2 linked regions of the Daphnia pulex genome follow. The protein of the gene in region 1 purifies or fractionates together with the protein of each later gene. This does not show direct contact. Links are inferred from orthologs where the notes say so. Each region holds a gene or a part of one and is shown in the gene's direction. Other genes may lie near its edges.

Evidence for each region.
Region 2: the proteins of GTP-binding protein Rheb-like (region 1) and regulatory-associated protein of mTOR-like purify together in Homo sapiens (affinity purification with western blotting, with the first as the bait; 3 studies listed by BioGRID). This does not show direct contact. The link is inferred for Daphnia pulex from reciprocal best matches to the Homo sapiens genes RHEB and RPTOR.

What each region holds. Positions count from the first base shown.
Region 1 is NC_060021.1:5,202,029-5,211,538, forward strand, and holds GTP-binding protein Rheb-like, read left to right. Parts: upstream 1-5,582; 5' UTR 5,583-5,724; exon of another isoform or gene 5,725-5,740; intron 5,741-5,800; 5' UTR 5,801-5,939; coding exon 5,940-5,994; intron 5,995-6,054; coding exon 6,055-6,126; intron 6,127-6,193; coding exon 6,194-6,401; intron 6,402-6,476; coding exon 6,477-6,606; intron 6,607-6,686; coding exon 6,687-6,779; 3' UTR 6,780-6,935; downstream 6,936-9,510. Other genes in the region: transcription factor SPT20 homolog, read left to right, coding at 1-219, 266-360, 2,788-3,051, 3,446-3,631, 3,711-3,956; cullin-associated NEDD8-dissociated protein 1-like, read right to left, coding at 7,311-7,400, 7,478-7,585, 7,654-7,829, 7,900-8,065, 8,149-8,277, 8,340-8,789, 8,842-9,146, 9,238-9,503. UniProt on the Homo sapiens protein: Small GTPase that acts as an allosteric activator of the canonical mTORC1 complex, an evolutionarily conserved central nutrient sensor that stimulates anabolic reactions and macromolecule biosynthesis to promote cellular biomass generation and growth.
Region 2 is NC_060017.1:2,262,915-2,273,150, forward strand, and holds the start of regulatory-associated protein of mTOR-like, read left to right. Parts: upstream 1-4,108; 5' UTR 4,109-4,347; coding exon 4,348-4,533; intron 4,534-4,669; coding exon 4,670-4,772; intron 4,773-4,842; coding exon 4,843-4,964; intron 4,965-5,035; coding exon 5,036-5,467; intron 5,468-5,538; coding exon 5,539-5,847; intron 5,848-5,918; coding exon 5,919-6,227; intron 6,228-6,281; coding exon 6,282-6,689; intron 6,690-6,762; coding exon 6,763-6,915; intron 6,916-6,978; coding exon 6,979-7,282; intron 7,283-7,347; coding exon 7,348-7,484; intron 7,485-7,546; coding exon 7,547-7,641; intron 7,642-7,704; coding exon 7,705-7,786; intron 7,787-7,861; coding exon 7,862-8,026; intron 8,027-8,095; coding exon 8,096-8,202; intron 8,203-8,266; coding exon 8,267-8,383; intron 8,384-8,451; coding exon 8,452-8,879; intron 8,880-8,946; coding exon 8,947-9,112; intron 9,113-9,192; coding exon 9,193-9,318; intron 9,319-9,381; coding exon 9,382-9,586; 3' UTR 9,587-10,236. Other genes in the region: protein SMG5-like, read left to right, coding at 1-1,009, 1,076-1,221, 1,294-1,448, 1,504-1,562; uncharacterized protein PB18E9.04c-like, read right to left, coding at 1,787-3,321, 3,381-3,468, 3,528-3,704. UniProt on the Homo sapiens protein: Component of the mechanistic target of rapamycin complex 1 (mTORC1), an evolutionarily conserved central nutrient sensor that stimulates anabolic reactions and macromolecule biosynthesis to promote cellular biomass generation and growth.

The sequences.
Region 1 (9,510 bases):
GATATCAGACAAAAGAATTGCAAGAGCAAGACCAAGAGGAAGTTCCTGAGTACTGTCAAAAAGACGACGAAAGCGCCAAAAGTGTAGCTGAACAAGATCCGTATGATCTTGAGGTCCTTCGCTCGGTAGAACAAGGAGATTCCAGAGATTTTAGTGAACATTTTTCTGGTGAAGGCGGTGCTCACTTTTTTGCGTTTGTTAAAATAGCTGATGCAGAAGGTAACCAACGCTTCGTTCAAAAGACAATGATCTTTTTGGTTTCTAGAACAACAAACTAAGAAATTGAGCAATAACTGTACTTTACGTGTCGCCATTTCATGCCATTATGCAGCTTCATTTCCTGACTCTCGAAAAATGATCGTAAGAATCGGAGACTGGTGTTTATTTGAAACTCCTCTCGGAAAAAATAGGAATTATTTGTTTTTACTAGGACGTACAATTCCAATTTTGTTCAGGAAATAAACAAAAGCTGATATACGAATGGCAAATGGGTATAAAGACAAGAAAGCCGATGAATACATTTGTGTGAATTGTACATGGTATAAATTTGATGGCCAAACCAGAATTAGAAAAACAATATCTTCAACGGGAAGTAAATTAGCCGTTATTGCCCATGCCTTTCACCCGTTTTATAGCTACATCTGCAGTCTCCCTCCACCATCAATTCCGTCATGTAATAACGTCGTGTATCGAGAAGATATTGTACATGCTAATACACCTTTCTTATAAAATTTAAAGTAAATACCCTGCAACTGCTCAATATCTGCGAATACAAAATATTTTTGTACATTCAATCGGTAAATACGAAAATGGGGAAATTCTGAGAAAATTTGTGAAATTAAATGGAAACAAGGGAAAACCTGGGAAAAATAGGGGGAAAATGGTTAAAGTAGCAACTGGAAAAAAATTGGAAAAAATTCGTAAAATTCGAAAAAATTCGAAACAATTTGAAAAAAGGGGAAAAAAAGGGAAAATGGGAAAAGGAGGGGAAACATTTTTGCCAATTTTCCCCTTGGTTCACTTAGTAAATGAGTCGGCGACCCCTCGCATAATTCCTCTTTTTTTAGGCAAGTAACACTATCAGTCGGTTTACTTATTATTCTGCAATCCAGAATCGTGATATCAAAGAAGCCGTTGCCGATAATGAGTGGGCCAATTTGCAGTCGTTGCGAACGACAAATCAATCTTTTTGCTGATGCGGACAAATTTCGAGCACACAATTAAAATTTCGAGCAGAAGCTACTGAAATTTCAGAGTAAAAATAAGTGTACTAAACAGTAGTACAAGCGACGCCAAGAACGATGCATTTTTTACCACTTTACAGCTTTACTTAATTACTTACAACTTACAATTAAAAGTGCAATTAAATTTCCTTAGTTTTTTAAACCTTACATGCGAAGCGTTTTATCATTAAAAGGCGCTTAGTCTGACTTGGAACTTGAAAGACAAATAAACGTGTCAAAAAAATCAATCGTTCTTATAAGGTGCGGTTTTTGTCTTTCTATAAGCATACAAAGGAATACAAAAATATTTAAACATAAATCAAACATGGATCAAATGTATCAAACATAAATCAAACCAAATCATACACTGATTTAAAAAAACAATGTTTTTCACAGCGATTAAAAATCAAACCACATCTAACAGAGATCAAACACAATAAAACGATTGAAAATTAATGAAATAGTGATGACGTCAAAGGTAAAGTTATACTTAATAACAATTGCTGAAATAAAATGTAAAAAAATTGCAAAAAAATTATTTAAAAAAAAAAAACAGGTAATTTAGCAAAAATGTGGAAATTAAACGGAAAATCTAGTATACAGAAAAATTCAACGATCGCGGAAGAACATTAATCCCACGTTGCGTACTATAGAGTTGAGTAGTGCATGAATAAAGAGGTTTCGCACAACTTCATTTACTTTCTAATAGTATTTTTCAATGAGCACGAGCTTAATCACTTACCTTACCTTTATAATTTTCCACTTACCTACCTAATTAGGAAGCACCATTGCTTGTTCTCGAATGGGATAGTCGGCTGGTCGCCGTGCACGATTTTAGCTAAGCTTTTTTTCAAACGACAAAAAATTCAAAAAAAGACAAGTCCAGCAAAGACTACATAACACTATCCGAAGACGTATTTTTAAAAAAACAGAAAAGGAAGGGAAATCCACAAGTCGTAGCATGCAGTTGAAGATTTAAACCCACATTTTCGGAGACACATGGGGAGACGGTAAAAAGAAGGAAACACAAGTCGTAGCATGCAGTTAAAAATTCAAACCAACATTTTCGGACAATAACAATTACTTTTTCGTTAAATCGCATTTTTCTTCTTGAATAAATTTTAAAATTAAACATCGTTATACCGACCTTACTCATGGGTGTGCCTATCAAACTCGTAACAGAAGGGTTTTATTAATTGCTGGATCCACCATGACAGATGAGAGAATATCCTTTGTATTTAAAATAAATAAAATTTCAGCAGTTTTTTTTTTAAGTTTGAACCAATTGGAACCAACATATCGCTCTGGCATTGAGTACCAGTTTAATAATGCTGTAGTACACAACACATGGTATTTTGATACGGTATGTATTTATATTTTGGTTATGTATTCATCATATCTTGCCTTCACTTCATCTTACTAACCTTTACATCAAACCCCGATTGTTGGTCCTGGCTGGGGTGGAAGAAGAGTGGAGTTGATGTTGCTCTACCACTCTCTCCCAAGAGAAAAAAGGAAACGCAATCGTGAACGCCAAAAGCTGCGACAACGCCAACGCTCTTAGCAACAACAGCAACATATGAACCAAAACCAACGTCCTCAACAACAACATCAGGTGCGACAACGCCAACGCTCTCAGCAACAACAGCAACTTTTTAACCGGAACCATCGCCCTCAACAACAACATCAGGTGCGCTCAATCTCAATAGATTCTCTTAACGTTCTTGACTCCAATGGGAGACCTGATGTAAATATGCCTGACCAGAGATACCATGCGGGTGAGGAACCAATCTTCATCAAAAGCTGCAAACTCTTTGAAGGCGGCAAGGTCAGCACGCGCTGAAACAGTTTGCCAAACGTTTGTGATCAGCATCAGGTGAGCAGCACACGCCGAGTCGTGCTAAGTCAAAAATGGTGATTTCCATGCAAGATATTGCAAAAGCGGGAGTTGTGAATGGAAGTAGTTATCATCAAAGAAAGATTCAACATTTCAAAGCCTTACTGTTACAACCCCTCAGTTTTGTAGAACAATGCAATGCACACAGAGAGATTCAACGCAGTTTGAAAGTTCTGGATCCCCTGTATCGTCCTGGATTTTATTATCTTTTTAACAACGCTGTTGTTCAATATTCGTGGGCTTTCCCTCACCACCTGGTACATTATATTTTCACCTTGTTAACAACAATTTCACTTTCTTAACTTATGTTTTCATCCTTCAATAGTATCCACCAATTGAAGGGTTTGGATGGGGACCCAGGAAAACAACTTTGATGTGGCAATACTATTCATTACCTAAGGAGCCTAATTATCGTCGAGCTGTCCATTTTCATGCTACACATTCTCAACATTTTCAAACTCGTGGAACATCCACTCAACAATTCCCACCTGTTCAACAGTTTCATGCTCGAGCAAATTTCAATAATCAACATTCCCATATTCATGCCATTCATGCCCAACATTCCAATACCGACATACCAACTTGTTCAGTATTTGCCTCAACACACTCCTCAACCGCCCCATAACATTCCTCAACAAAATCTATACTCCCTACAACAACAACCACAACAAACACGATTTTTCCTACAACCACCACGTCTCATTCTACGGGAGCCACAACTAAGGGAGCAACAACAACAACACGAGCAACAACAACGGGACTCTCAACAACAACGGGAGCCACAAATTGATCCGCGTCGTCAGTTACAGCGTATACAACTGGCGTACATGTATTGAACAGTGAAGGTGTTGAGCCGAATTTCACATTGGTCACCGGTGAAGAGTTCATGGAAAAAACTAAACCCTATGTGCCAACTGACTTTGTGGGATTCCCCACTTCGAGAGAAGCAACAGTTGAGGGATACGTTTCCGGAATGACTAAAGGTAACTAAATTTCCTATACATTTTCTTAAAAGAAAAAGAAAATTATAATATTTAATAATTTAGAATCAGGATCGAGACTCATACGACCTACTCAAGCTAGGAAGAAGCAAAAGTAAACAGCTGAAAACTGACTATTTTTCTTCTATTTTTCATTTTTTTTTTTTGTGTACATGCGGAATTTTTTGGCGTTAAACTCCACTTTGCGTTGCTGTGGCGATGACGTTGCCCGTCTTTTTTGTTCTTCTTGTTGGTCATCCTTTTTCCGGCCGCTCCTGCCCGGTCCCTCCAAAATACTGACTGCGGTACTGTGTACAGTGCCAGTACTCCATATGCTCATGTTTGTGCTCCCTCCATTACTCGCCGACCTTTTCAACTTTTTTCAGTATTTGCCTCAACACACTCCTCAACCGCCCCATAACATTCCTCAACAAAATCTATACTCCCTACAACAACAACCACAACAAACACGATTTGTCCTACAACCACCACGTCTCATTCTACGGGAGCCACAACTAAGGGAGCAACAACAACTAAGGGAGCAACAACAACGGGACTCTCAACAACAACGGGACTCTCAACAACAACGGGAGCCACAAATTGATCCGCGTCGTCAGTTCGAGCGTCAAAATGATGAAGATAATAGATGAGAACAACTAAGAGAAGAACATCAACGTCGCCAGCGAGAAAGCAAACTGGACATACAACACCGTAGGCGCAATTACGAATAATTTTACTTCAAATTGAAATAAAACACAGAAATTGTACTACTGCATTGCTACTAAACAAATAAAATTTTTCAACTCCTCAACTTTCACTTAATCAATACAGTAGACTAAGGGCTCATTCAGTTGTACGATAAGAAGGATAAACGATAAGTCTTCACTCACTATTGTTATCTTAGCATCAGCTGGTTGTTGGAAATTGACGTAGGCATAGCCAAGTGATCATGTCTCTGCATACTCCATGCTGTGACCACATGATACCAATTGGTCTTCCCCGAAGGACATGAAAGTTCATAATGTCTAGGGCTCATTCAGTTGTGCAATAAGAAGGATTAACGAAATCGAATTAGTTTGACGAAATTCTCATGGTAAGTTTTTCCATTTACAGTTTCGGCTTTGGTAATATCTGGCATTGAAATTACCATTTTCGACTTGCCACGATTCGGCGTGTGCTGATCACGTGCAAACCTTCGGCAAACTGTTTCAGTGTGTGCTGATTCACGTGCAGAAGTTTGCTCGCCATCTAGCGCTCGATCTGTAAGTTCAGAAAAACAAAACAGTTTGCAGAGCATAGTAAAAAACTTGTTTGGGACAGTCGCTATAGACGGAGTCTCTGTTTGGTATTTTTTACATGTAATATTATTTAGATTTGAGTGTAAAGTTCATTTAAGATGCGTATTATAAATTTATAATTTAAACTCTAATTTATTTATATTTTATTTAAATTTTATACGCATATTTGTTATCTCCACAACAGTACTTGTTGCAACGCTGTAATCAGTAAAGAAGCTGTCCAACTAACTAAACAGAAAACACGTTATTTTGATCCGTAAAAATCTTTTCTTGTATTGCAAAAGAAAAATCTAAAAGGAAACGTTTTAGCAGCACAGAACAAGAAGGTATTAAACTTACTTGGTATTTATAATGAACTTAATGAAGTACCTTATGAAAATATTTTTTAAATGCTGTTGCAAGTGGTGGCCATTGATTTCTTTCACCATTCCTTATTGAAAGTATATGCTTTGAAATATAAGTGTTGTTTGTATTTTGTAGTGCATGACGTAAGAAGCACTCGCCATACATACTTGCATAACTTGGGAAATACTAGTCCAACATGCCACCTCAAAGAAAACAGAGGAAGATTGCAATTATGGGCTACCGCTCAGTTGGTAAGTTGTTGCAGTTGAAAGATCATGTTAGATTATTTTTTATAATTTTCATTTACCTAGGAAAATCTTCACTGACCATCCAATTTGTTGAAAATCAATTTGTTGATTCTTATGACCCTACAATTGAAAACAGTATGCTCCTTGTTTGTGTTGTAAAGGAACACTGTTTAATTTTTGTTTTGTCTTGACTGAAATCCAGCCTTCACCAAACCATGGAAAGTAAGAGGGCAAGATTTTGAGCTAAAGTTGGTGGATACTGCTGGTCAAGATGAATATGCTATTTTCCCAGCTCAACATTCAATGGACATGCATGGTTATGTACTTGTATATTCCATTACTTCAGTTCAAAGCTTTGAGCTGTTACAAGTTTTGCTAGAAAAGATTATGGATATGACTGGTAAAATCACGTAAGTTTCTCTAAGGTAGCATTTCATCACTCAATAATTTTATGTCTGACAACCAGTTTCTTTTCATCACTATAGAATACCTCTTGTTATTGTTGGTAATAAAACAGACCTTCACCGTGAAAGAGTAGTCAGCACAGAAGAGGGCAAAAGGCTTGCCGACACTTGGAAAGCCTCATTTTATGAAGTTTCTGCTAGGTCACACGAGGTATGCTGATTAATATTCATTTGGAGATTTGAAATTGTACTTTCTATTAAGAATTTTTTTTTTTTTCCTTTCATCTCTAGTCTGTCTGCGAAATTTTTAACCGACTGATAACGGAAATGGAGAAAGCAGATAGCAGTAATGGAAACGAAAAGAGCAGTTGTGTTCTGTCCTGAACGGGTATGAAATGTAGAAAAATCTACCAGCGCCAATTTTTTTCCCTTCTAATATTACGCAGTTTTTCATAACGACCGTTATCTCGGTTTCTTGGATTTGTGAAGCAACGTTGAAAAGCTTTCATGGTGAGCGAAATACATTTATCATTTGTACTATGTAAGTGGTTCTTATCTTGTATAAACGATGTTCACCAAATTTAGGTTTTGAACATTAAATACGATTAACATTTTGCAGGAAAGTTGTATTTCTCGATTTTGAATATCTAAAATGACATGGGGGAAAAGATGAAATAACGCAACAGATCTTTTTTTCTCAGAAAAAGATACACACCGTGCTGAAAAGTGCATCGTAGTGGAACTGAACTTAAACAATGTTCAACGCATCCGTTCAAGAAGAATGGTTAATACATGTACCCCTACTTCCCTTTCATCCACCATAGACATTTCAAAGAAAAGAACGAAACAATGTTTCATTCGTGACAATTCCCCGATCCGATTTTTTCGATAATAGATACATAATTATACACCACTTTAACTTAAATCCATGTTCGAATCACTGGATCCACCTGCAGCATTTCCATGATGTCCGGAGCCATCTTTCTGGATCGAGTCGAAAAGAGTCTGAAAATGGTAAGTGTAAAAATTTTAAGTTTAGGCGAATAGTACGTGCTGGTTTTTGGCAGTTGTTATTTAGTTACCTGAAGATCGGGTGATGAACGAATATGCAGAACGAACTCGTTAAGTTGTGGATTTTTGTCCGAATCAGGAATGATCAGCAATGCAGTCACGGCTCGCATGGCAGATCGCTATTTTAAATATTTCGTTTGATTACCAATTCATTTGATTCGGTTCTATAAAGTAATAAATCAATCACCTTAAGTTCATTTTGCATTTCATATTCTTGTTTGACTGCATTCGCCTTAACTCTAGCCGTGCAAGTAGTTCGTAGGGGTTCGACTAATCGATCGAGGCGTTGAAGAACGGCAGTAGGACACAACGTGGCCAGACGGGCAACCATTAAATAAGTCAGCATTTTGATGTCGTTGTGATCTGTAAGAAGTTGTAAATGAACGTGAGCTGTAAGTAACATCGTTTTTGTTCCAAGAAACAAAACACCAACCTTTCAATCCCAGTTCAACGTGATTCAAAAATTCGAAAACATCCAATCGATCAAGACATGAATCCAGAAGGGTATACATGCATTCGAAAGCGGCTTTACGAAGGTCAAGACCATCGTCAACGGTGTGCTTAAAGGGACCCATTTCCACTTCGCGGACCAACTCTTTCTAAAAATTATAATTAGTTATAATTTTTTTTTATTTAGCATATTTTAGTTTTAAGAAATTGATTCCATCACTAGAATACTTACTCTGACTTTGGTTTCGTTATAGAGCTGAGGCAAAACGGAATCGAGTAAGTCTCGGACCAAGGAAGGCTTGTTGTGTGCTGCCGAATTAAAGGCAATTAATGCCACTCGTCGCACATTCAAGTCATCATCCTATTACAGAATCAATTAAATACTGATCCGTTCTAATCAACCCCAATGAAATTGATCATTACCTGTAAGGTTTGAAGGAAATCGCCCATACATTGCTTCAGCAGAGGATCAATGGACTGGACTTGATCAGAAATTGTGAATTTGGCTGCTGTGACGATCGTGGTTCTCATCAACGCACTAGGGCTGTTCAGAGCTGCTCGAAGTCGTGGAAGCAATCCCTCTGGGTCTGTGAGAGTAAGCTTTCCCAAACACTCCGCCACAACATTGCGTGTTCCTTCTTCGTTACACTCGCAGTGACGGAAGAGAAGATCCCAAATTTGGGGTACGAAAGGGCGCAGTTGTGCAATGGCCTCGGTTCCAAGTGACAGCGAAGTAATCACTTCCTTTAACGAGTGGAGCAACAAATACTGACGCCGTGATTGAGTTTCAATCTGAGTAAGAATGAAGGGCAAGAAAGCTGGAAGATTTCCCACTGCTACTGAACCGAGGGCGTGCGAAGCTGCAGATTTTACCTAAAGAAAACGGATATAGATTGATGTTGACGTTAGAAAAGATTAGAAATACTTCTTCATTTGGTGGGCCGAAGGAATCGATGATTGCTTGTCCCAACCCTGGGACTTGGTGAAGATCCATTCTTTTGCCAATTTCTCCCATGCAGAGCAGGGCAAAGATGTGTTGCCAATCAGAATGAGGTCTCTGAGCTTCCTGAAGAAAATTCTGTACCAAAGTAAAAGCTTCAGAAACAGGTTGCGTCACAACCAGTGAAGCAACAGCCTGGGCGACAGAATGATGGGCAGTCTTGTGGAGACCAGGTTTTGACGCCAAATTCATCAGACACATCAACAAATCGCGGTAGCCAAGACCAGATCCTGAATGGAAAGTAAAAGTGAACAGTTAATATTGTTAATAAGTTGTCTTCTAAGTAATACAGTTGAAATTAAGAGAAAAAAAATCACTAACCCGGAGCATTAAACTCGACCAAAGCCTGTAGGAAATCGAGAAGGGATCCCAGAGCCACACCTTGAAGCAAAGGTGAGCGCAAGAGATTGAAGACTTCGGACAAAATGCCTCCATTAACTCCACCGGTTTGAAACGCCGAACGCTGATTCCGCGCAACAGAAGTGAGCAAATGAAGGGTTAGCTGCGCGATGTGCAAATCAGATTCCGACAGCAGAGGCGGTATTTCGGTTAAAACCGCATGCAGTAGTTCCGGTGTTAGCGCAGCGCTAAAAA
Region 2 (10,236 bases), on another chromosome or scaffold:
GAGCAAGTTTCAAGACATTTTCCATCTAAGCTCTGGGAATGCTGACCAACGTAATGGAAATAATGCAGATAAAGAGAAAGAGCCCGTCTCTGGGAGTAAAGAAGAAGCTGATGAAGATGAACTGAGTGACGAGGAGGAAGAAGAAACTAAGCGCGCTAAACTGAGAAGAAGAAAAATTGGATCTGGATCGTCTGATCAAGAATTTTCAGAGGAAGAGATATTTTTAGAAAGTAACTCTGAGCAGGATTCTGAAGAAGAAGAAGAAGTTTTATCCGATTCTGGTTTTCATTCAGCTGAAGCTAAACTTGAACCGCTCATTGAAATCCCGTCAGAAGCTGTATCTCTTTTGCCGATTTTTAAACTCTTGACTGATTGGTTACAAGCCAATGTTCAGGTTGTTCAAGTATCAAATCAATCCATTCGAAAAATGTGGGCAACACTAGCTACCATCCTCAACGTGTTTAAACGCTGTCAGAAAGAAGATGTTGATCAGTACCAAAAAGTTCCTTTAGAAGAAGATTGGAAGCTGTATGGACTGGATTCTATGAGCTTATTCCATGCTCAAATCGATTTTGAGTCTGTTCCTGCACCATCCAACATTTCAATTTTAAATTCTATTCGGATCGAAAGAATTCTCCAATTTGGCAATTGGTTGGCAAGTCAAGGCAACGAAAAAAGTTTCCGACTGGAAAACGGAATTTACATGTGTCCATCCGAAGCAACTAAAGATGAATCCCAGGAACTGGGAATGAAAGCAGATCTCATGATGAGAAACATGGCACACTTGTGGTTGAAGTCAGAAGTACAAGAGCTTGAACGGAGACTCTCACCTCAATTCAAAAGAAAAAAAAAGACAAACTTCGATCTTTCCACTTTATCTTATGTCTATTTGGTACCGGACGTCTCTGCTCTTTCAGATTTTACTCACCTCATAAAACAAGTGATCAAAAGCCAAAAGCTGATTGTAGTAGTACCTGATATTGTCATCTCGGAAATTGATCAACTCAAAGTATTTTCATTTACTTGATTGTTGATCTTACAGCATTTAATGATTTTTTTTTCTCTTGTTATACAGAGGGAAAGCTCTTCTGTTCGGGAATGCATTCGGTGGCTAGAAACCTGCTTTCGTACCGGCAATCGCTTTATTAGAGCACAGCGTCAAAACGAACACCAAGTCATCCCATTATTGACTTATCCGAAACGAAAAGATAAAGCCAACTGGTGAGCACACGAGCCATCTTTCTTAACTCCTAAGTGCTATTGATAATGATTAACCTTCTGGTTTTCTTTAAGGACATTGTTCCAAATACTGGAATGCTGCTGTTACCTGGATACAAACCAGAGAAACGTTTATAAAACTAGCCAGAATTCGCCCATTGTACTGTTTTTGTCCGGCAACACGGCTGAAGACACGGATCAACAAACCAGAGGGATTTGTAATTCGATTGGTAAGCACACATTTCAAAAATTATGTTAACCGAAAATTAAACATCTTTATTTTAGGTGTTGAATTTAAAACTGCAAATTCGTTGATGAAGAAAAGTAAGACGAAAAAACGCTGATACCGTCATGTATAACATTGAATTACGTATTACGTAGCCATATGTGTTTTGATTATTTGCTTGTATTGTAAGAAAAACATTTTGTTTCTCACTCTCCTCGAGTTTTAACCATGGACAATACTGAAACATCAAGAAGTAAACCGTAACTAAAATAATGAAGAAACCGTGGGGAAGTAACTTATGTTAAAACAAACACAAACAGCGCTGCCTTTCAAGTGAAGTAATTAAGAAGTTTGAGTTTCAGCGTCACGGATTTTGACTTTTCGAATAACGGTACGACAACGACAATGATGAGTGCATCTACCGTTAAATTTCTTGCGAACTGAAGTTTTCCAAGAAGCAACGCTTTGTTTTCTTTTTCGAGTAGTAAACTTTGGATTAGCTTGGTTATTACTATTTTCATTGGCGTTTGTAGTTCCGTCCTGGGGATGAATGAGGGAATGAACAGGATAGGTTGTGACCATTTTGCTAGATGATTGGACTAGACTAATAGCTTCTTCTTTGCAATATTCGTGTTGCTCTGATACAATTCCCTCTGTGATCACAACAGCGTGTTCTTGCTTAGGGGGCGACACGTATTTTGAGAAGTCCATTGACGACCCATTTGGAAATGATGTGCCAGGAATAGAAGTATTCAAGTTAGAAGTCTCTTTCATAGGAACAACTGTGTTATTTACAATAACTTTCATTTTCTGAAGGGGAACGGATGAGGATGACGCAAATTGCACGCGCCGTTGTTGAGCAGGAGTGACGACTAACGGCGGAAACATCGACCAGTTTACTTGAGCAGAATTATTATGATTATCAACGTTCGATCCAATGGGAGTTGTTTGAGAAGGTATTGTCGTTTTTGTGTCGTTAATCGATGTGGAGCACGGCAAATACTGAAGGGGAGAATCTTTCATTCCAGGGATGCGTTGATCTTTTGTTGAAAATCCGACGAGGTTCTCCTGGTGTGTTGCTGTAGTAGTAGAGCCCAAAGTTGGTGTTGGGTAGTGAAAATGTTGGTTTACATAATAAGGTCTGGGAGTTGAACAACCGGCAATGGAGGTGACAAGGGTATCTTTATTGCGTGGTGCATACACGCTAGAATCGTCATACTGCTCTCTGGCTGGAGTCGAGACATTAGCTTGATTCTCTTCAGAAAAGTTCTTTACTCTATGCTCAGCTGTACTACTTTCTTGGTCAGAAGTATAGAAATGAACTTGTTTTCGTTGAGCAGGAGTGACGTCTACTGGAACAAACATTGAGCGATTTTTTGTTGAAGGAGCTTCTCGATTATCTGTTTGAGTTCGATTCTTAAAAATTGAGTTTTCTTGTATTATGACTGGTTCGTCGGTAAGGGGTGTCAAGTACGGTAAATTGTGAAGGTTGGAATTATCCCAATTTTGTTGACAAAAACGTCGATCTTTGCTTGAATGTCTTACAGTGTTCTCGCGATGTATGACGGGAGTTAGAAAACTCAAATTTGGTGTTGAAGAGTAAGGATTTGGGTTGAGATAAGGTGGAGAAGGACATTCAACATTTGAGTTGCTGAGAAATGAACTACATCCTGACGGTGAACTTTCTTGTAGTAAAAGAACCTCACCAGGGTTTGAATCCTCATAAAGTTCATTAACCTTGTGACTTAATGGAACTTTTGTTTGTTCCTCTTCAGATGTGCTTGTTATGTGATGCTCAGCTGTACTTTCCTGGTCTAATGAAACAGGACTATATTTTGTACTTATTGATATGTCATCATTGCCAGATCCTTCAGTATCTATATAGAGTAACACAATTATTTGAAATTTTTTAATCGAGTAATGTATTGATGTAGACCTGATGAAGATCCACAAGGAATGTTGTGAAATGGAGTTCCAATCCCAAAATGACGTATTGAGATATCATCATTTGAAACTGCCTCTACCTGCAAAATACATATTTAATAAATACTCCCATCTTTAGTGTCATTAAATTGGCTGTTACTTTAGGAGGAATCATTGTAAACTTCTGTCCATTGATTGGGGAAATCTGACCGGTTTGTTCAAGATCGTCATGCTTCACGAGGTCAACGAGAATTATGCGACTCTGTTGTTGAAAGGCAGTTTTACGAATCTCAGTATTTAGCCGGAAACGGTGTTTGGATCCACCACTCCAGTTCATTTCTTTTTACTTCAATGTGACAATTAGAAAGCGAATACACAATTATTCATGTAATTTTCAATGGCTTTTGGCTTTCAAAAGCGTCCTTCATGACCAAGAATTTTCATGGAAATTCGGTCTGTTTTGGCGCCGCAGCCGGCGCTATTGAAGAGACATCTGTTAAGAGAGGCGTAACCTCCTTAGTAACCAGAGTACCAGACAGACTTTTTCCGTAAATTTTGTTTTTGGTGACATTTAAGGGGAATGGTGGGCCAGAGAGTAAACATACTAAAAAAAACAGACACATGAATTATATATAAGTTTATAATAAGGAAAAAAATTGGGGTGTATACGATTACGAATTCTGTGGGCCTGTGGCGTGCCTGTGGCATGAGAATGATGAGATAGCTTCCATTTTATGTCGAATAGAAAATGGCAACCTTGTGTAGTTGTGTTGGATTCATTTTTTCGTCGTAAAAAATAAACCAAAATCCGTCTGCACTCACACAACAAGAGAAACAATTTGAATTCGTGTCGTAATAATATGAATATATTGTCACTTCCAGTCGGGTGAATGTGTAGCTCATCAAGAGTTCGTTTTGTTTTGTGGTTTTTCAGATTTATCTAAATTTTTGGATAAGAAATCTGATAAATCGTTGAATAGATGACCATGTCGGGGGAGCTCTCGGTTTTCCAGCGTGCTCCATCACGTTCACCTTCTCCCGATGAACAGGGCCAAGATGAAGAAGATGAAGATTGGGCGATTGGATTAGCATTTTCTTCAGAAAGGCACACAGATAAAATTGAAGGATTAGAGGATTGTGCTCAAAACTGGAGATTAAAGGATCGGGTAACCCATGCATTTATTAAGTTACCTTTCCCGTCCAAAATCAAAATTTAAATAGCATTTTGTAATTTTTTCTCCACACAATTGTGCATGTACGGCTTAATAAAATAGGATTTCTTTTATTTTTTTTAAATTCAAGATGAAAACAGTAAGTGTGGCATTGATATTATGCCTTAATGTTGGAGTAGATCCTCCAGATGTAGTTAAAACTCAGCCCTGTGCAAGGCTAGAATGCTGGATAGGTATGTGATTTGTAAAGGGTTGTGTGTGTAGTGTTGTTGCTTTTTTAATGCAATTTTCCTCAATGTGTAGATCCTTTGTCTATGAGTCCACAAAAAGCATTAGAAGCAATTGGCATCAACCTTCAGAAGCAATATGAGAGGTGGCAGCCCCGTGCTCGCTACAAGCAAACTCTAGATCCTACCGCTGATGAGGTACAACCGAAAAATTCTTGTTTGTTTAGAAAAGAATAATTGTGATTAATGTTGTAATTCATAAATGTCAGATTAAAAAAGTAACATCTACTCTCCGAAGAAATGCTAAAGACGAAAGAGTGCTGTTTCACTACAATGGGCATGGCGTTCCGAAACCAACTGCCAATGGAGAGATTTGGGTCTTCAATCGCAGTTATACGCAATATATACCGCTCTCGATTTACGACCTACAAACTTGGATGTGGTCTCCGTCAATTTACGTATTTGACTGTTCAAACGCTGGCATGATTGTGGACGCGTTTCAACAGTTCGCGGATCAGCATCAGAGGGAGTACGAACAACTGATGGCTCAATCAAGAAACACATTGCCTTCTCAGATGACACCACCTCCGAATTTCAAACAGTGCATTCAGTTGGCTGCATGCGCAACTAATCAGATTCTTCCTATGAATTCCGAACTGCCAGCTGATATATTTACTGCATGTCTCACAACTCCTATTAAGGTAACTAGAATATGTTTTAAGATAAATTGGAAATTTAATGTACTATTCCATTTTTTCCCCTATATCAAAAGATTGCACTTCGATGGTTTGTTTTACAAAATACTTCCCGTTTGGTGCCCCGAATGACACTTGAATCAGTCGACAAAATCCCCGGGCAGCTTAACGATCGCAGAACTATGCTGGGTGAATTAAATTGGATTTTTACCGCTATAACTGATACGATTGCTTGGAATTCACTTCCACGGGACGTGTTCCAGCGCCTTTTCAGACAAGATCTTCTTGTGGCTAGTCTTTTCCGGAATTTCCTTTTAGCAGAAAGGATACTTAAGTCGTATGACTGCACGCCAGTCTCTTGGCCAAAGTTGCCTCCTACGTCTCAGGTTATTAGGATTTAAAGTTACCTTTTCACATTATTTAAATGTCTTATAATTTCGGCATTCTTTGATTTTAGCACCCAATGTGGTCTGCTTGGGATTTAGCTCTTGACATTTGCCTCTCACAGCTACCAGGCATTTTAGAAGGCAAGGAAACCTTCCAGAATTCCCCTTTTTTTGAGGAACAGTTGACGGCTTTCCAAGTTTGGCTTTCGCATGGGTCACAAAAGAGATCTCCTCCAGAACAACTACCTATTGTTCTGCAAGTTCTTTTAAGTCAAGTTCATCGTTTAAGAGCACTTGAACTCTTGGGGCGATTTTTAGATTTAGGCCCTTGGGCTGTCAATTTGGCGCTGTCGGTCGGCATTTTTCCATATGTTTTAAAGGTTTGCTTTTCTATTTTAATATGTTCTACTCGATAACTGAAATCTTCGTTTTAGTTACTTCAAAGTTCTGCGCGGGAACTGCGCCCATTACTTCTATTTATCTGGACGAAAATTCTTGCTGTTGATGTTACCTGTCAAGCGGATTTAGTCCGTGATGGAGGACACAAATATTTCCTCTCTGTTCTTCAAGATAATTCCGTGCCGGATGATCAGCGCACGCTGGCCGCCTTTGTGATTTCTAGAGTGGTCTGGAATCATCCTATCGGGCAGGATGCTGTTTCTCAAGTAGCTTTTATCTCGAATGCCCTGGAAATGGTCTATGAAAAGGATAAATTACTTAGACAATGGATCGTCATTGGAATTGGCTTAGCTTGGCACAATGCTATAGCTGCTCGTTGGTCGGCAATTCGAGACTCCGCTCATGAGAAACTATTTCCGTTGTTGCGAGATTCTGTTCCTGAGGTATTTACAACATTGTTGATTATATGACATTAAATCTGTCGAATTTCAGTCTTATTTGTTTATGTATGTTAAGGTTCGAGCGGCCACTGCTTATGCCCTAGGAACGTTTATCCATAGTGGAGGAAAGACGGAACGAAATGAACTTGCCAACAAAATTGATCACGCAGTGGCCTTACAACTGGTGAATGTTGTGAACTCGGAAGCTAGTCCTTTGGTTCGCAAAGAGGTATAGTAGCTTCTTTTCGCTTTGGGAATTGAATATTCGTTAAATTTAATTTTCTTTCTAAAGATCGTTGGCGCTCTCCAGTGGATTGTTTTGATATTCGAGTCCACGTTCATTCAAATGGCTGTTCAACAGATAGAAGAGGAAAAGAATAAAGACTCGAACAGTCTCTCTCCAAACGTGGAAGTAACGTTAACTTCTTCTGGTAGTCTACAGAGGCCCACGCGTCGTTCGCGGGCCTCCACATCCAATGCGATGAACCTAGGCACAAGTCCGGAACTATCAGATAGTGGTTTCACCCATTCCACAAACTCCGGGCATCCAGATCATATTAGACGAGCGGTTTCTATTTCCTCTCTCAGTAGCCTTAGTAAGATTTTAATAGTAAGCCAAAAATTGATTAAAATAAAATATTTCTAAATTTTATTTTTGCAGCGAGTTCCACTTTGCCTAGTCTTGCTTTTAACACTATTTACGTCAAACTTTGGCACGGACTTTCAAGCATGGAAAAAGATCCTTACCTGGAAGTCTCTACGATGGCAAAGAAATTAACGGATTATGTGCGGAATAAGGTATTTCCTTTTTAAAAATTACGCAGTTGGTCAGCCACTTAAACATAACATGCATATTTCAGGCTAAAGAAGTGATAGCTTCACGGGAATCAGACGTTAGTCGTCAATATACGTATTCCAATTCGAGTAACGATTCTATGGATAAATCCCTCTACATGTAATGCTGTATACTATTACAATACCTCGTACAAATAACGAATATATTTGAGACTTGTTTCAGTGGGGACTCTCCTCCACGGGCCCTTGTCCAACGCACTACTCCCTCATTCAACAGAATCAGGAAACGAAGCATACCATCTACAGTAATAACATTTTGAACTGGCTTCCTCAACCGAATGTTTCTTACTACTACTCAATTATTATTTATTCGTTGCTAGATTGTGGAAGAAGGTGAAAGTTCCAAAGAGTTGAAGGATCCTTTAGTAGTAACCGGATTTGTCGAATGGTGCGCTCGTCATTTTGCTGAACCAGCTGCGTCTAATGAAGATTTTCAAATCAATATGAAACCCAATCACGAAAAAGAATTAACTATTGAATTCGAAGTACAACCTCAACATGGATTCTATGATTTTTTAGAATTATTATTGATATATTTTTTTGTTCTCAACTAGATATGCGGGAGAACACGTGAACGAGACACTGAAATGTACTACACGCGCGAATGGCGATATACAAGAAATGCTTCCGTTCGCCATGAAGCTAAAGAAGAATGTCAAAGGTGAACTCAATTTCAGGGTTTTTACCTGGTTTTTTAATTTAAAATTCTATGTTTATTTATTTAGACCAAATAAAGCAAAAATGAAAGAGGTTTTCTGCAATCGGAATCCACTGGTACCTTCAGTTATCCGCTTTCATCCCTACGATCCTTGGCTTGCTGTAGCAGATAAAGAAGGATGCACGTAAGAAACAATTCTTTTATGGTGATAAAAGTTTTTCTGTGCTCGACGAAAATTGTTCTATAATGCAGAGTATGGGACTGGGAAAGAAGCGTCCGTCTTGTCCATTTTAACAATCAACAACAACCCAGGGCTGCTCGAATTACATCAATGGATTTTGTGAACGGACATGATGATGCGTTACTTCTTATTGGTGCAGATGATGGGTCGTGCAGAATCTGGCGGGATTTTATTCGAACAGGATCTCGATCAGCAAATGCTGTTGTCGAAGATCACACTGGAGTTTCTCTTGTTTCAGCATGGAACTGTATAGCTGAAATGGCACCATCGACTCGATGTTCCGGTCTGGTTTTGGATTGGAATCAGGATTCTTTACAATTGCTAGCAACAGGCGATGTTCGCTTGATCCGCATTTGGGACGTAGAGCGTGAATTGAAAGTCAGCGACTTTCCTACTGGTTCAGAAAATTGTGTGACCTCCGTTCATCATAACCCGCGAGGTTTTGACCAAGTTTAAGAAATTTATATAATCGTTTGCGCAAATTAAATTGATAATTTTGTCTTCAGATCGATCGCTCTTTGTAGCGTCATGTGGAGACGGATCAGTCCGCCTTTTTGATCAGCGATGCAGCGCTGCAAAATCTAGAGTTATGACTTGGAGGGAGCATGCTGCTTGGGTCATAGATTGCGAATGGATTTCGGTTGAAGGAGGTGCCAACTTAGTGAGTGGCAGGTAACAATCATCTCATCGTATTAATCGTTACATTGTATGAAATTACGTTTGATAACTAATAGTTGTTTTTTTTTCTCAAGTCTGGCGGGTGACATCAAGTTCATGGATCCTAGAAATCCCAACTCGGTTCTCACCGTAGCCACAGCGCCTAATTCGCAAGGAATGACTGCCATGGCAGTCCATCCCAAGGCTAACTTATTTGCTTGGTAAAACAGCTTTTGTGTGGAAAAATGCTTATTTTCACTAACATGCATCGTTTTCATTATTAGTGGAATTGTCGGGCAGTACATTACCGTACACGACCAAGAAGGAGAAGTGCGTTCTACTATCGCGTATCACGACGGCGGTGGTCTTTTGGGCTCCAAAATTGCAGCTGTCTCCTGTTTAACCTTTCATCCACATCGGGTGTGCCTCGCTGCTGGAGGCATGGACTCGATGATTTCTGTTTTTTCTTCAGATAAGTCAAAGAAGTAGAATGGTTTGCTTTTGTTGACTCACCGTCAAGATTCGTCGTTTTCTTTTTTTCTGTTGGAGATTTTTCAATTCGAGCCGCGAGACCTCGCATATGTTAAATACCCAGTTACAAACAATCACTATTGTGAGCGAAAGATTCAAAATGAAGCATCCTCTATATTAATTCATGCACCGAATTAAATTAATTGTGTATCTTAAATGTATTTTTTTTTGTGTGTGAAGCTTCCTGCTGACTTCTTATCAGTTTATTCATTGGGTATGATTTTCATGTTATTATATCGAGCTATGCTCACGTTACACAAGATAAGTTTACATGCCCATGCTGTTTGGGTCGACGTTCTCAATCCATGTGAGTATTGGGTAATACAAAGTAATTGAATACCAAAAACTTTGTCGATGAATTTCCGTCGTCAGAATGTTTAGACGACATTGTTCGACTTAAGTAAAAAAGAAAATGTGATGCTTCGGCTTTGATCTTTCTACCCGTTTATCAGTTGTTGCGATAAGGTTATCGGAACGGAGCTTTTCCGTTGTACTGATCAGCTGGTGGCCAGATCAATCGTTTATGTGTTTGAACGCAGTGAAAACCAACGTCGCATTAGCCTTTGTTAACCTCGTATTGAAAACGGGATTAAGTTGTCAAACTCACC